2 linked regions of the Tribolium castaneum genome follow. The protein of the gene in region 2 purifies or fractionates together with the protein of the main gene of each other region. This does not show direct contact. Links are inferred from orthologs where the notes say so. Each region holds a gene or a part of one and is shown on either strand. Other genes may lie near its edges.

What was found. Proteins that work in one complex are often made in the same cells at the same time.
Region 1: the proteins of shtd (region 2) and APC4 purify together in Homo sapiens (co-purification; 13 studies listed by BioGRID and IntAct, with this or other methods). This does not show direct contact. The link is inferred for Tribolium castaneum from reciprocal best matches to the Homo sapiens genes ANAPC1 and ANAPC4.

Annotation. Positions count from the first base shown.
Region 1 is NC_087400.1:319,349-328,075, reverse strand, and holds APC4 (anaphase-promoting complex subunit 4), read right to left. Parts: upstream 4,807-8,727; 5' UTR 4,701-4,806; coding exon 4,589-4,700; intron 4,544-4,588; coding exon 4,415-4,543; intron 4,354-4,414; coding exon 4,193-4,353; intron 4,147-4,192; coding exon 3,427-4,146; intron 2,972-3,426; coding exon 1,895-2,971; 3' UTR 1,889-1,894; coding exon of another isoform or gene 1,799-1,888; 3' UTR 1,749-1,798; coding exon of another isoform or gene 1,605-1,748; 3' UTR 1,538-1,604; downstream 1-1,537. Other genes in the region: uncharacterized protein LOC659212, read left to right, coding at 1-162, 1,605-1,748, 1,799-1,888; CstF64 (cleavage stimulation factor subunit 2 tau variant), read left to right, coding at 5,018-5,069, 5,120-5,198, 5,244-5,667, 5,717-5,900, 5,957-6,086, 6,135-6,164, 6,220-6,308, 6,358-6,608; WD and tetratricopeptide repeats protein 1, read right to left, coding at 6,872-7,048, 7,260-7,456, 7,506-7,864, 7,920-8,029, 8,076-8,369, 8,420-8,600, 8,647-8,727. UniProt on the Homo sapiens protein: Component of the anaphase promoting complex/cyclosome (APC/C), a cell cycle-regulated E3 ubiquitin ligase that controls progression through mitosis and the G1 phase of the cell cycle.
Region 2 is NC_087397.1:4,714,695-4,718,729, forward strand, and holds the start of shtd (anaphase-promoting complex subunit 1), read right to left. Parts: upstream 2,801-4,035; 5' UTR 2,639-2,800; coding exon 2,615-2,638; intron 2,568-2,614; coding exon 2,207-2,567; intron 2,158-2,206; coding exon 1,753-2,157; intron 1,707-1,752; coding exon 1,414-1,706; intron 1,367-1,413; coding exon 1,218-1,366; intron 1,118-1,217; coding exon 914-1,117; intron 863-913; coding exon 673-862; intron 632-672; coding exon 471-631; intron 424-470; coding exon 26-423; intron 1-25. Other genes in the region: Caf1-105 (chromatin assembly factor 1 subunit B), read left to right, coding at 3,122-3,244, 3,292-3,672, 3,726-4,035. UniProt on the Homo sapiens protein: Component of the anaphase promoting complex/cyclosome (APC/C), a cell cycle-regulated E3 ubiquitin ligase that controls progression through mitosis and the G1 phase of the cell cycle.

The sequences.
Region 1 (8,727 bases), on a different chromosome or scaffold from region 2:
CCACCGACGGCCCTCCAAGGGGGCATGGATGGGGATGGGCATCCCATTTACGTTGGTAGAGCCTACCATGAAGGTGACTTGATCCCTGCCAAAGTGATTCCCGGCAAAAACGCCGCCTATGTCTCTCACAACGGACAGGAACACCTCGTTGAAAATTTCCAAGTAATATACTGGGTGTTTCTATTTGATATTTATCCCCTTGTAACTTTTTTTTAAAGTAAAACAAGCATTTTTATCCGCAAAAGTGACAAATATTGTGACTAAATGTCACAGGCAACAGTTCTATTTTTCGGCCATTATATGCATATGCATATTCTTGAGATTTTTTTTTCGAACATATGGACTTTTTTTGGACTTTTAACAACTCCAGAGGGATGTAAAGGCATAGAAAAGTCCATAAAACTATGCTAGAATGGGTTTGTAAAAAAAATATTTTTTTCACGTTTTTGGAAGAAAGTGTATTATTATTACTCAGAAAATTTTAGCAAAAATTCTCATTCACGGCTAAACTATTCCAGAAAGTGGAACTATTTTGTTCCATACCTATACAAAATGATCCGGGGAATCGATTGGCATCGAGAAAATTGCCAAATTCCCAATAGTTTTTTAGTTATGAATTTTTTAAAATTTTACTAATTTTTGCATTTATCTCCAATTTGCTCGAAAACTATTAGTCGGAGAACAATAATTTTTTTTGAAAAAAATAGATAATATAAAGAGCTTTCCAACGATAATACACTTCGTAGGGTTATCTCTAAAAGTTCCGGAGCTATTGCTTGACAAAAGTTCCGGGTACCGAAAATCGACAAAATTTGCGACGAAAATTGAAAAAATCAAACATCAAAAAATCGAACATATGGACTTTTTGTGGACTTTTAACAACTTTTGTGGGTTGTTAAGACATGTAAAAGTCCATAAAAATTTACTGGAGTGAGTTTAAAAAAAATTTTTTTTCACCACTTTGAAGGTAATTTTAGCAAAAAAATTGAAAATTTTAGATCTCGTGAAAAGTTGGTATAATACAGAAAATGAGCCGCTGAATTCAATGGAACAAACCGCATTGCTCCTCGACTTTTAGTTTTCGAGTTATGAATTTTTTAATAAATAACCCGGCGCATCCACCAATTTTAAAATTAAAATATATATTTTTTTAAATTTCTCGAGTAAGCTAGTGTTGTGAAAAGGCTAGTATTCTAAGCAATTTAAGCAGCAGAATTCACTGCAACAAACGGTTTTGCTCTACGACTTTTAGTTTTCGAGTTATAAATTTTTTGGTTGAATAAAATTTTCCACTATAAGAAACAACTATCTTAATTTTTAGCAAAAAATTTTAAAACTTTAGATCTCGTTAAACGTTGGTATAATTCAGAAAATGAGCCGCTGAGTTCATTGGAACAAACCGTTTTGCTCTACGACATTTAGTTTTTGAGCTATGAATTTTTTTTGTTGAATATGGGAAAATAAAGCCCTTTTATATTTTGTTTTATAATCTCGTTATTTAATTTTTTGTATCTGTACAAAAACTAAAAGAAAACAATTTTTCTTCCACCTTGCAAGGTTAATTAATAAGGAAAACGAATTTATTTATTTTTTAAAATTTTCAGGTTTTATGTAAACAATACTTCGAGTGGGTACAATCGCACGCCGGCCACTTGCCACCAGGGGCGGTCCAAGGGGGGCACACCAGCGAAGGGGAGCCCCTTTACATAGGCCGCGCCTACCACGAAGGCTCCCAAACAATTGGCAAAGTACTTAACTCACCCTTATAAATTTTAACCCTTGATCATTTATTTTCCAGATACACCCCAGCCATGGTGTCTGCTACATAGCATACGGCGGCGAAGAAATCGCTTGTCCCGAATACGAAACTTTAGTCCTTAGAATGTAAATAAAGTCATTCTTGTACCCCACTATTGTTCATCTCCGCATCTTCCTCCTCCTCTTCCTCCCCCTCCATTTCATACAAGCGCACCTTCCTCCGATTTTCCGCCAATACGATACCGACACGTCGACTCCCCGACACTGCAAACTCCGCCCCCACCATCCCCTCCACACACTTAAACAGCTTCGGAACCAAACACGAACCGTTCAAACTAACCACGTTAACCGCACCACTAAAAACACGATCTGTCTCCCCCCCATCCACAAACTTGTCCAAAACGCCACCTATCGGTATCTGACTTAAAACTGTAGCTTTAGAAACGGTGTTTTCTTGCAATAAAACCGACAATACTGCACTCGAATATAGTTTAATATCGATCACGTGATAATTATCCTCGGAATTGTCACGGGGGAAGTACAGACGCGCACACTTTATGAAACAATTGCCATCGTCTAGATACACCTGCAGGCCTAGAACGGTCTCAGGCGGCTGCAAGTAACAAAAAAGAATCGATTCTTTGTTTAAGTTGACTTGGGACGTCCGTAACGAATCGCCGCAAAATTGGAAACAATTGAAGTCATTCAAATGACTGAACTGCCTACTAATTTGCTCTCTAGGTGTCGCGAAAATCGCATCGACGCTTTGCTTCAAATGCTTGTACTGTTGTATCAGCGACATCTCTTTGAAGTGCCTCAAAATGGAACTATTTTTTTCGATGCATTGGTTCTGGGCCAAAAAATCAGTCCATTCGTTCCCGGACATGTCTGGTTGGATCGTCAAATTGCCATCGCTTAAATATTGCCCCAACCGCTCCATAATGAACCCCTTTTGTTTGTTATTCCGACTGATGTGGTCAAAGTTTTGCAAAAATTCGGTGATGTAAGCCAGGTCTTGCTGAGTCATTTTGGGGATTTCGTTCGGTATTGGCTCATCCAGAACGTGCATTATTGCCGTGTAGAGCCAGCGGAAGAAGGCCTTGTAATTGATGATGGAGTGATTGATGATTTGCTGCATTTCGCTGCCTTTGATCAAGAAGGCGCCGTTCGAGGAAATGGCGCCGGTAATGGCGGCCGCGTCCAAACCCAAAACCTACAATCACCCAATCACCATTTTTTACACTAATAACTTCTTTTCAATTGAAACGCGTCCTAAACGTGGGAGCGAAAAGCCGAAAAAGGCGTTTTAAAGCCGTCAGGGGTTTCCCCGAATATTTTGGACTTTTTTCACGTAGTATTTGCTCGATTTTAAACTAAATATTTATTTATTTTGCCAGATAGTATTTTGTTCGTTTAAAAAATCAGACACTATATTCGTTTCAAAGCAAACCTGATTGATATTTGTTTGTTTCACTCAATGTAGCTTGTTGCGTAAAATTTCGTCTAAAATACGCCTGTTTTTTAACTATTTCTCAGACTTTGAAATTATCGAACTAAATGTGATTTTTCCATTTTTGTGCATTTTTGATGGTTTTTCTTGCCAAGTTCACACAAAATTAAATTTTAATTTTTTTGTTGAGTTGGCAGCCACCACACACTTGTACCAACCTTATAGCGGTGTTCCAGTCTTGCCATCCCCCTCATTTCGGCCAAGTGATAGGTAACATTCTGCCCAAACTTCATCACATACTTCAGCATCAACTTCTGAATGTTGGAATAACTCATCTCAATCGTCTGCCCGAACTTCTCCAACCCTTTCTTCGTTAAATCGTGTATGAGAAAGGTCTTCATCTCATCCGAGCAAATTCCAAACGTCAGCAAATCCAAAAAATCAGCCGTGACGCCCCCTTCTGGCACCTTGCTCGCATATTTCGACAACTTGTTGTCCATCTCCAGCAAAATGCTCTCCCAGGACTCGGTGATGGTGGTAATAGTGTTGGAGAGATAGGTCACCAGTGAGGTCAATTTTATGTGTTTGAGGGCCAAAGCGAACAGTTCGTTTGTGTGCGTTTTGAAAATTTCCGAATCGAAACAAATCAATTTAACGTTGTTTTCGTTGTCTCGCACTGTGAAAAACATGCGGTTCAGGTCCTCGTTCAAATGCATGTTCTGGATGGAGCAAAGACAGTTGAGAGTTTGCTTCAAGTCAAGGGAAGCGCACGGGAAACAACCGAAAACTCGCACGTGCACGGTGCCCTCACTTGTCCCAATCAGGAGCAAATTAAAGTCGGTTTGCTCTTGCAAAATGTTGGTTTTCTGACCATCGTCGTTGTTGGGGGAATCGAACTGTTGTAGCACCGGTTCGGGCAAAAAATTACCCGATAAGTCCTACAACTGGGAAATTAAACGAGCACTAACATTCGGGTTTTTTTACAATGTGTTTCATGTACTGATTCTGTTTACTGTCTTCGTCAACTGAAGGCAGTTTCCCTTTAACAGTCCGGTCTTGCAACCAATTGAGACATGAAACTTCGCCCTTGATGTCAATAGTGTGCAACACCGACTTATTCTCGACCTTCACAAGCAGTATTTGGCCTGAAATTGCACAAAACAATGGATTTAAATTATTTCCAATACTTTTTTTACAATATTTTACCAGAACTGTACGCAATTGCTATGATTTTGCCGTCAGGCCTCCAGGCAATACTTGTGACCTTTAACCCATCCTTGGGGGCACTGAGACTCCACGCTTTGGTCCAAGTGAGTCGATGAAGAGCCACCTCTCCTACAAAGACACCCAAAAATGCCGGTTACTGCAAATGGGGGTTACCTTTGATATTGGCAAGAGCGACAAGGTCCATACGGTCGCTCCACACCATTTGAACAATCTCACTGGCCACATTGCGCTCTTCGAGCTGTTTAATCGCCTGAACTGTGCTCATTTTCCAACAATTAGTAACAAAAAACAATTTTCAAATTGTAAGGTTACGTTTAATTCTGTCATGGGTACCAACTGTGCGTCTGGACCCGATTTGCTTTATTTAGCCAAATGTGCACAAACAGGCCTAGTCAGGCGTTACGATTCACTTTAGGGTTGTAACCACAATAGATAAACCAACATTTTTGTTATTGTTGGCTTTAAAATGCATAATTTTGTACTTTTTTAAAAGGTAGAGGGTTGGTAACGCTGACCGTTTGTTGAAATTGGTGTCCCAGGTGTCTTGATTACTTCGTTCCAAGTTGGAATTAAACAATCACCATGGATAATTTAGAAGCAAATATCATGGACAAGTCAATGCGTTCGGTCTTTGGTACAAATTATTTAAATTTTAAGTGATAATTATAACCCCATTGCTTCCAGTGGGCAACATCCCCTACGAAGCCACCGAAGAGAAGCTCAAAGACATTTTCGGCGAAGTAGGCCAGGTCCTGTCATTCAAGTACGTTGCCCTGCCCCCTGAAGCCCCCTAACGCCTGAATTTTAGGTTGGTTTTCGACCGCGAGACAGGCAAGCCCAAAGGCTACGGCTTCTGCGAGTACCGCGACCAGGAGACGGCGCTCAGCGCCATGCGCAACCTCAACGGGTACGAGATCGGGGGGCGCAACCTCCGGGTCGACAACGCCTGTACCGAGAAATCGCGCATGGAGATGCAAAACTTGCTGAACCAGCCCCCGGTCGAGAACCCCTACGGCGAGCCGATTCAGGCCGAGAAGGCCCCCGAGGCCATCAGCAAAGCCGTGGCCTCGTTGCCCCCCGAGCAGATGTTCGAGTTGATGAAGCAGATGAAGCTCTGCATTCAGAACAACCCCACTGAGGCCAGGCAGATGCTGCTGCAGAACCCCCAGTTGGCGTACGCTCTGCTGCAGGCGCAGGTGGTTATGAGGATTATTGACCCGCATACGGCGGCTGTGAGTTGGGGGTTTGGGGGCGTATTTATATTTTATTGGGGGGTTTTAGACAATGTTGCATCCGCAAAATCCCGTTCCTTCGTCTTTGACGCCCAAGGAAAAGACTAATCCAGGCCCCATTCCGATTAACAGTAATTATGTCTCGAATCCCACGCCTGTGCAGCCCCCAAGACAGGACTTTCAGCCGGTGCCAGCCCCCGCGATTCATAATAATTCCAATCCGGTCTTCACAGGTGATTTTTTTTATCACAATTGATTATAAATAATAATAATGTTTGCGTTATTGCAGGTCAAGACGTTGATCTAAGATCACTGGACCCCCGAGGGGCTGATCCTCGCCTCAGCCGCCTGGGCGACCAGGACATGCGCACTTTGCCCGGACAACTCCCCAACCCCCTTCCGCCGCCACTTGTCGAAAAGTAAGTAAAATAATTCAACCTTGAGCCCTTTTACTCAAATTTAAACAGTTTCACTAAGCAGGATCAGAAATTGGAAAGGTAAATAACCATTTACAATTGATTAGAAATACAATTTACTGATACTTTTTCTTAGCTTTAATAGGGACCCACGTGGAGGTCCGGCCAACTTCCCATCTGATCCGAGACAACAACAGCGAGCTGACCCAAGACAGAAAAATATGCGTATGTGTGAAGTACGTAATTGAATTGGTTGTTGAAAGTCTGATTTTAGCCCCTCAGCAAAACGCGATGCCTCCGCAGCCGGTCAGAGCCCCGCAGGGGCCCCCCAGTACCCCCCAAGTTCGCCAAGCTGCCAATGTTGCTTCAAGTATAGGTACAGCTGGGGCCTCAGACCAGGAAAAGGCGGCCCTGATTATGCAAGTCCTGCAATTGTCAGATGAGCAGATTGCAATGCTGCCACCTGAACAGCGTAATAGTATTCTAGTTTTGAAGGAACAAATCGCCAAAAGTGCACACCGTTGATTAATTAAGTCATTTCCCCAAATCAGTTTAATTTTTACAGTTTACATGATAATTAAAAAATCTTTAAAATTATTAACATAAACACTATTTACAGTATTGTGTATATATCATTTAAAAATCAACAACAAAAACGCACCCTCTAGAAAGTACAAAATAAATGAGCGATTCCTTCGGTTGTTTACGATTAAATTGTAAACAAGAGGTGGATTTATTCGTTTGCAACTTTCAGTTACAAATCTGGTTGTAATGGTTTTGTTAAAAAATTAGCTAGTTCGGCACGTTGGTACTTCTTGAATGGACGATCCGTCTAAAGCGCTTCCTTCGATCTGGTAACCCATGCTCGCCAACATTGATTCGAATGGGTCCATTGACATGCGATGCTGATTTGTTTCGACTACAGTGGAGATGCATTTGACGATTCGGTTGTTCACTTTGCCGTCCTAAATAAACGACAACGGAAACTCCAACATTAATAAAATTAATAGAAAAAAGTTACTATATTTCGGAGAAAAATTTCCGATCAAGTGACTAAGTTATCCGTTTTCGAAAAATCATACTAGCCTTTTTTTTGGAACCTTTATCGAATTAAAAAAAAGCCGTAATGTAGAGTGGCCAACTTAATTTCAAAGTGAGACCAGCAATTGTGCTTACCTCAGGCCGAGGCGACCATATTTTAACGGCCGTATCAATCCCGCTGGACGCTATAACACAGGCACTAGGGTGTGGTTGAATGCAATTAACTATCGAGTTATCTCCAAAGAGAGCCCTAACCACATTCATACTCTTCTTATCCCAGATAAAAATGATCCCTTCGTCCGATCCTGCACAAATATAATTATCACAATCACCTGAAAGCCGCCGTGAAAAAACCAACACTCTACAACCACCACAAACAACCTAAAAAATTCGCCTCCTTGATATCAGTCGTGGTATTACAATGCCCTATGTAAATCTTCTCAAAATCGAACGAATCCAAACGTAACTTTTTCTCATCATCTTCCACCTTCTTCACTCCCGTCTCCTCAAACTTGACGCTGTTTTTGAGCGCTTGCAACTCCTCAACGAGGAATTTCACCTGCGAGGAGGTTTCACATTCGGGGTAAAGTTTTGTAAAGTGTTTCAACCAAGCGTTGGCTTCGTCTTCCCACTTCATGGCAATTAGGCATTTGATTAATCCAATGTAAGCCTGTTTATGGTCCGGCCAATGCTGAATCACGTGTAAATAATCACGTGCTGCCGCATACAAATCGCCCATCCTAACAAGAAAAAAAAAATTAACAAGCCTTTTTTTTTGGCTATTTGTCTCAATACCACTTGCGTTGGTACGCCTGTAGCGCCCGCCTCATGTAAAAGCAGGCACAGTCCGTGTTTTTCTCAAACAAGTCGGCGCTGACCCCGTTAAGTTCAGCCAACAGTACGTTCTAAAAAAAATTGCATTTTCCTAGTAGTGACTGGGGGGATAATTACCGGTTGGCAACAATTCCGGTAGGGTTGATGGGGCCGTTTAGGTAAGTTTTGGGGGATTTTGAGTTCGTTAATGTGTCGGCTATTATTTACATCAAATAAATAAATCTGTTCACCCCCGATATTTACCAACATTTCTGAACCGGCGGAATTGAACGCGATATAAGTGACTGATAGTTTGATGCTCATAATGCCGGCATTTTCGCGTGCCAGGTGCCCGGGGGCGTAGTATTGCACACAGTCGCTGTTTTGGGGCTGCGGGGACGTCCTCTTCGACGGATTAAACGACAAATTCGCCTGAAAACCCAAAAAATGCAAGTTTTTCCCCAACATTTTACCTATTTTACCATTGATACTTTGATCATCCTCCTGTCATACAAGCGCACGAAGCAGTCGTTGGCGCCTATTGCGATATAGTGCGATTTTGTGGGATTCACAGCAATGCATTTGATTTCCGATTTGAAGCTTAGGTCGACTAAGACCTTGCTTTGCGTGGGACACTCGTGGGGTTCCCGCAAGTCGTATTGCCTGCAAGTGAGTTAAGGTGTTTGGTTGGGCAAAACAGTTGCCTTACACAACTAGGCCATCTTCGCCCGCTGACCAGAACAGAGTAGGCTGGTCGGGGGCCGTGGCCAGGCGTTTGACCCGGCCGATG
Region 2 (4,035 bases):
ACGATTTAGAACGAAACCAAATTACCTAAAAGCAGCGTTTCAAACGCATTCCATTCTTGCTCGAGATTCATGTCTTGGGCCCCTGGTGCGTTCCGAGTGGCGTACCATCTGGTCAAAACCACCGAAATGGTGTCACGGTTTAGACACTGCTTTAACGCCATTACACAATTTTCAATTAGTGGGTGTGCAGTCAAGGGGGGCAGAGTGATTCTGTAGTAAGTGCCATCAGAGTATCGTAAAGTGATGCGGTTTTCGATCGGGTCACGTAAACCGTTCAGGACAGCTTTGGGCAAATTGCTTTCGTGCTGGAAGTTCAGCTGGAGGATGTTAGACACGTTTGTTGTCTCGGGTAACACCGGTGATAGCAAATGGTCGTCAAACTTGGGGTCTAGTTGTTTGCAATGGGGCAAAAGACTGCTCCGTCTGGAATGGCAAAGTTGAGCGGTTTGGAGGTTTTAATTGGGAAATACCTCGGGAAAGGTGAGTTAAACTGAGCCAGGTTGCGACGGACGTAGGGCGAGGGGGTGTGCTGGACGAGGGTGCCCCCTATGTGCAGCTTCCCCACTAGGGTAAGGCCAGAGTAGAGGCTGACGTTGCCGTTGTGTTCCAGGACGGCCAACATGTGGCACATCTTAATTACAATTAGGAAAAAATTCAATGTGTGATACTCACAGGAATAGGCACTGCGTCTTTGACACTCAAACTGTTAACCATTCCAAAGCGAATGTTACTCGGGTCTGTAAAGTCGATTTGGACTAAACACAACTGGCACTTCACTGGTAAAATGTAGCAAAGGTACCACTGGTGTGTCAAGTCGTCGCACAAAAATACTTTAGATGTGGCACTCGACATGTTATCATCTCTACAATAATCACTTGATCATTGAATATTTTTTAAATAAAAAAAACTTTACTGAGTCAAATTCGGATCAGTCCATAGGTGGTCCAAACAAATAAGAGGGTTTGTGTGCAGGTAAGACATCAGTTTAGAACAGTCGAAAAACGAACAGTTGTTTGGTGCACAATAACTGGGCCCACTTGGAATAGAAGTGTTCAAACGCGAAGCTCTCTGCAACCACGGACTTCCGATAGAGGAAGTGGCAGGTGACTGGCATCGACTATAAAGACCCAAATTACACTTTTAGTATAATTCAGTAACAAAACCGATTAACTTGCTATAATTAGTTCGTATTATAAAATTTGGAAAAATGGGTCAACCTGATTGTGGCCATTGAGCTGTGCGATTTCGAGTGGTGCATTTGGTTATAAAAACTTGCTACGCTTCCTGGCCGGCTATTGATAGGGCTGGGGACGCTTAAATAATTCGAGTTTTTTCCGCAATCCCACATTGAAAGACGACTTTTCAACTGTAATTATTAATTATCGCAAGTGTGCGACTTTTAATCTCTTTTACCCTGTTAGATAAACTGGTGGCTGAAGGGAAAGTGCTGTTCATCCTGTTTGCAAACTCTACCTTTTCGTTGATTGTTACTTTTCTAATAACGTAAACACTGTGTTGCCTGGTTTGAGTATCGTAAATCATACAAATGCTTGGATTTTCGCTGGTGTAAACCAATTTAAAACTATTATTATTCAGGACTTGGATATGTGTGCCAACATTTATTGCAACAGGACAGACCTCATCAAAGGGAAAAGCTAAGGAATAGAGCGAAGCTCTGTTTTCAAAATACGTTGTAGAATTGTGGCCTTTAAAGATTGCGTTAATAAATGAAAAAAAATGCAAAATGCAAACCTTCGTTTTCCCGTTCGAGAAAAATTCCGTACTTCGTATTCCACATTTTGCTAATTTGGAACGGGATAGCAGTGACGAAATCTTCACCTTTTTGGGTGAAAACGTGAATATTATGGGCATTTATGATGCAAATTGCAGGAACCGGCACGCCTTTAGTTTCCTCTTCTTTGTTAGAAAAAGGAAAAGCGTCGGTTTCATATCTGGGGTGCTCGCAGTGGAAAGTGCACCAAGCGGCGTGTTTTATAGGGAGAAGGGAAGTGTAAGCACAAATTGTTTTTCTACCGTTGTCTAAATTGTCACAATTGTTTAGCCCTCGGGACCACACTGCCGTGTGTCCCTTGACATAGAGTTCATCCTCCATAAAACTGACGTGACTTTTGGCAAAAGAACCCTCATAGCTTGGCCCTTGGGAATCAAAAAAAAAATAAAAATGCAAAAAATTGGTCCCACGTACCCCCATGAGCCAAGCTTTCATGCTTGAGTGAAAATTTCGAAAAACTCTCAGATATTCTCTTGCTAGTCTTTTGTGAATGATCGCAGCTTTGATAGCTGTAAGACTTGTCATTTTTACAGTCCTGATTCACACTAACTTTAGTACAAGAACTGTCTTTTGTCCCGTAGCACCAACTTGCCGCAGACTCAAACAAGGGGGTTTTCCGCAAAATCCACCATTCACTGTCTTTTTTCTCTTTTATTGAAACCTTTTCAAATTTATCAAGGAGTAGGTCCTCAGTTTGGCCTAAATTTTTTTGCGGGGGCACCCCATTGGGGCCTGGGTGTTTCAATGTTTGCTGCCGTCCACTTGGAACAAACTCCTGAAAAGTTTACGCAAAATATTGACTGAGTGAGAGCACCCACGAACCTGTGGATCTGAGGCAGCAATCATTGTTTCTACTTTCTCATCCAGATTTGCTAAATTTCAATAATGAATCAGAATGGTAACCAACATAAATCACGACTATTTTTCATTAAAAAACGCTTTTTTTAAACCGAATCGGCTCCTCTAACCTTCACAAACTTAACAGACAGCGCTGGCAATCTAAATGAAAGAAACCTAAATTTACTAGAATTTACAGACTTTACTTGAGTATTTAATTGTTAAATAGAGTATTTGCTTAATTTTTTATTAATTTGTGTTAATTTATATTCGTTCACGAAAAGGTTTGTAATTTAATTCAATTCATTCAATAGAATTGCTCATTTTTATACAAAAAAATTACATTTGTAAAAACAAAATCCCCAACGAGGAGACTAGTAAATTGGCGCCAAATGGTCGTAATATTTTTATTGGGTTGTTGTTTTGTGTAAAAAACGCCTTGTTTGTGTCTGCTACTATTCGTATTTCACAATTTAAGCCGCTAAACGTAGAATGAAGTGTTCGATACCAGAAATATCATGGCACAACCGGGAGCCCGTCTTGAGTGTTCATATTCAACCCGTTTTGGAGAAATTTTATAGGTTAGCAACTGGTGGTGCCGATTGTCATGTTTTGGTAAGCTTCGGTTTAAAAAAATTAAGTCTTGTGACGCTGTGCTTCAGATTTGGCAATTAACAATAAACGAAAACGGTAGTGTTAAAATCGAGGCTTTGTCTGATCTAACACGACACCAAAGAGCTGTGAATTCAGTTCGGTGGTCACCAGGGGGGCAGCAGCTCGCGACAGCTGATGACGACGCAAATATCATTATTTGGCAACTTAAAACCGATAATATCCCTCTACTGGAAGGAGAAACGAACGATAAAGAGACATGGATAGTGCATAAAGTAATGCGGGGGCACAAGGAAGACATTTACGACTTGTGTTGGTCACCCGATGGCTCAAAACTTCTATCGGGGTCTATAGACAACACTGCCATTTTGTGGGATTTTCAGAAAGGCAAAAATGAACAGATTTTAACCGACCACAAGGGATTTGTCCAAGTAAATTATTGCTAAATAAAAATATAGTGTTTGTAATTTTTCGAAATTTGAAGGGCGTGTCGTGGGATCCCAGAGGTCAGTTTTTGGCCACAATCAGTACCGACCGCATCTGCCGCATTTTTGAAAATACCGGTAAACAGGTGAAGGCTAGAATGCACAAGGGTCTATTACCGGTGCCGGAAGATCATTATCTTCACAACAAAGAAGTGAAATATTTTCATGATGACACGTTCAAGTCATTTTTCAGACGCTTAGATTTTTCACCTGATGGTTCTCTCCTGGCTGTTCCTTCAGGTCGCATTGAAATCGAGGATTGTAAAAAAATTCTCAACTGTACCTTGCTTTTTGCAGTAGATAACTGGG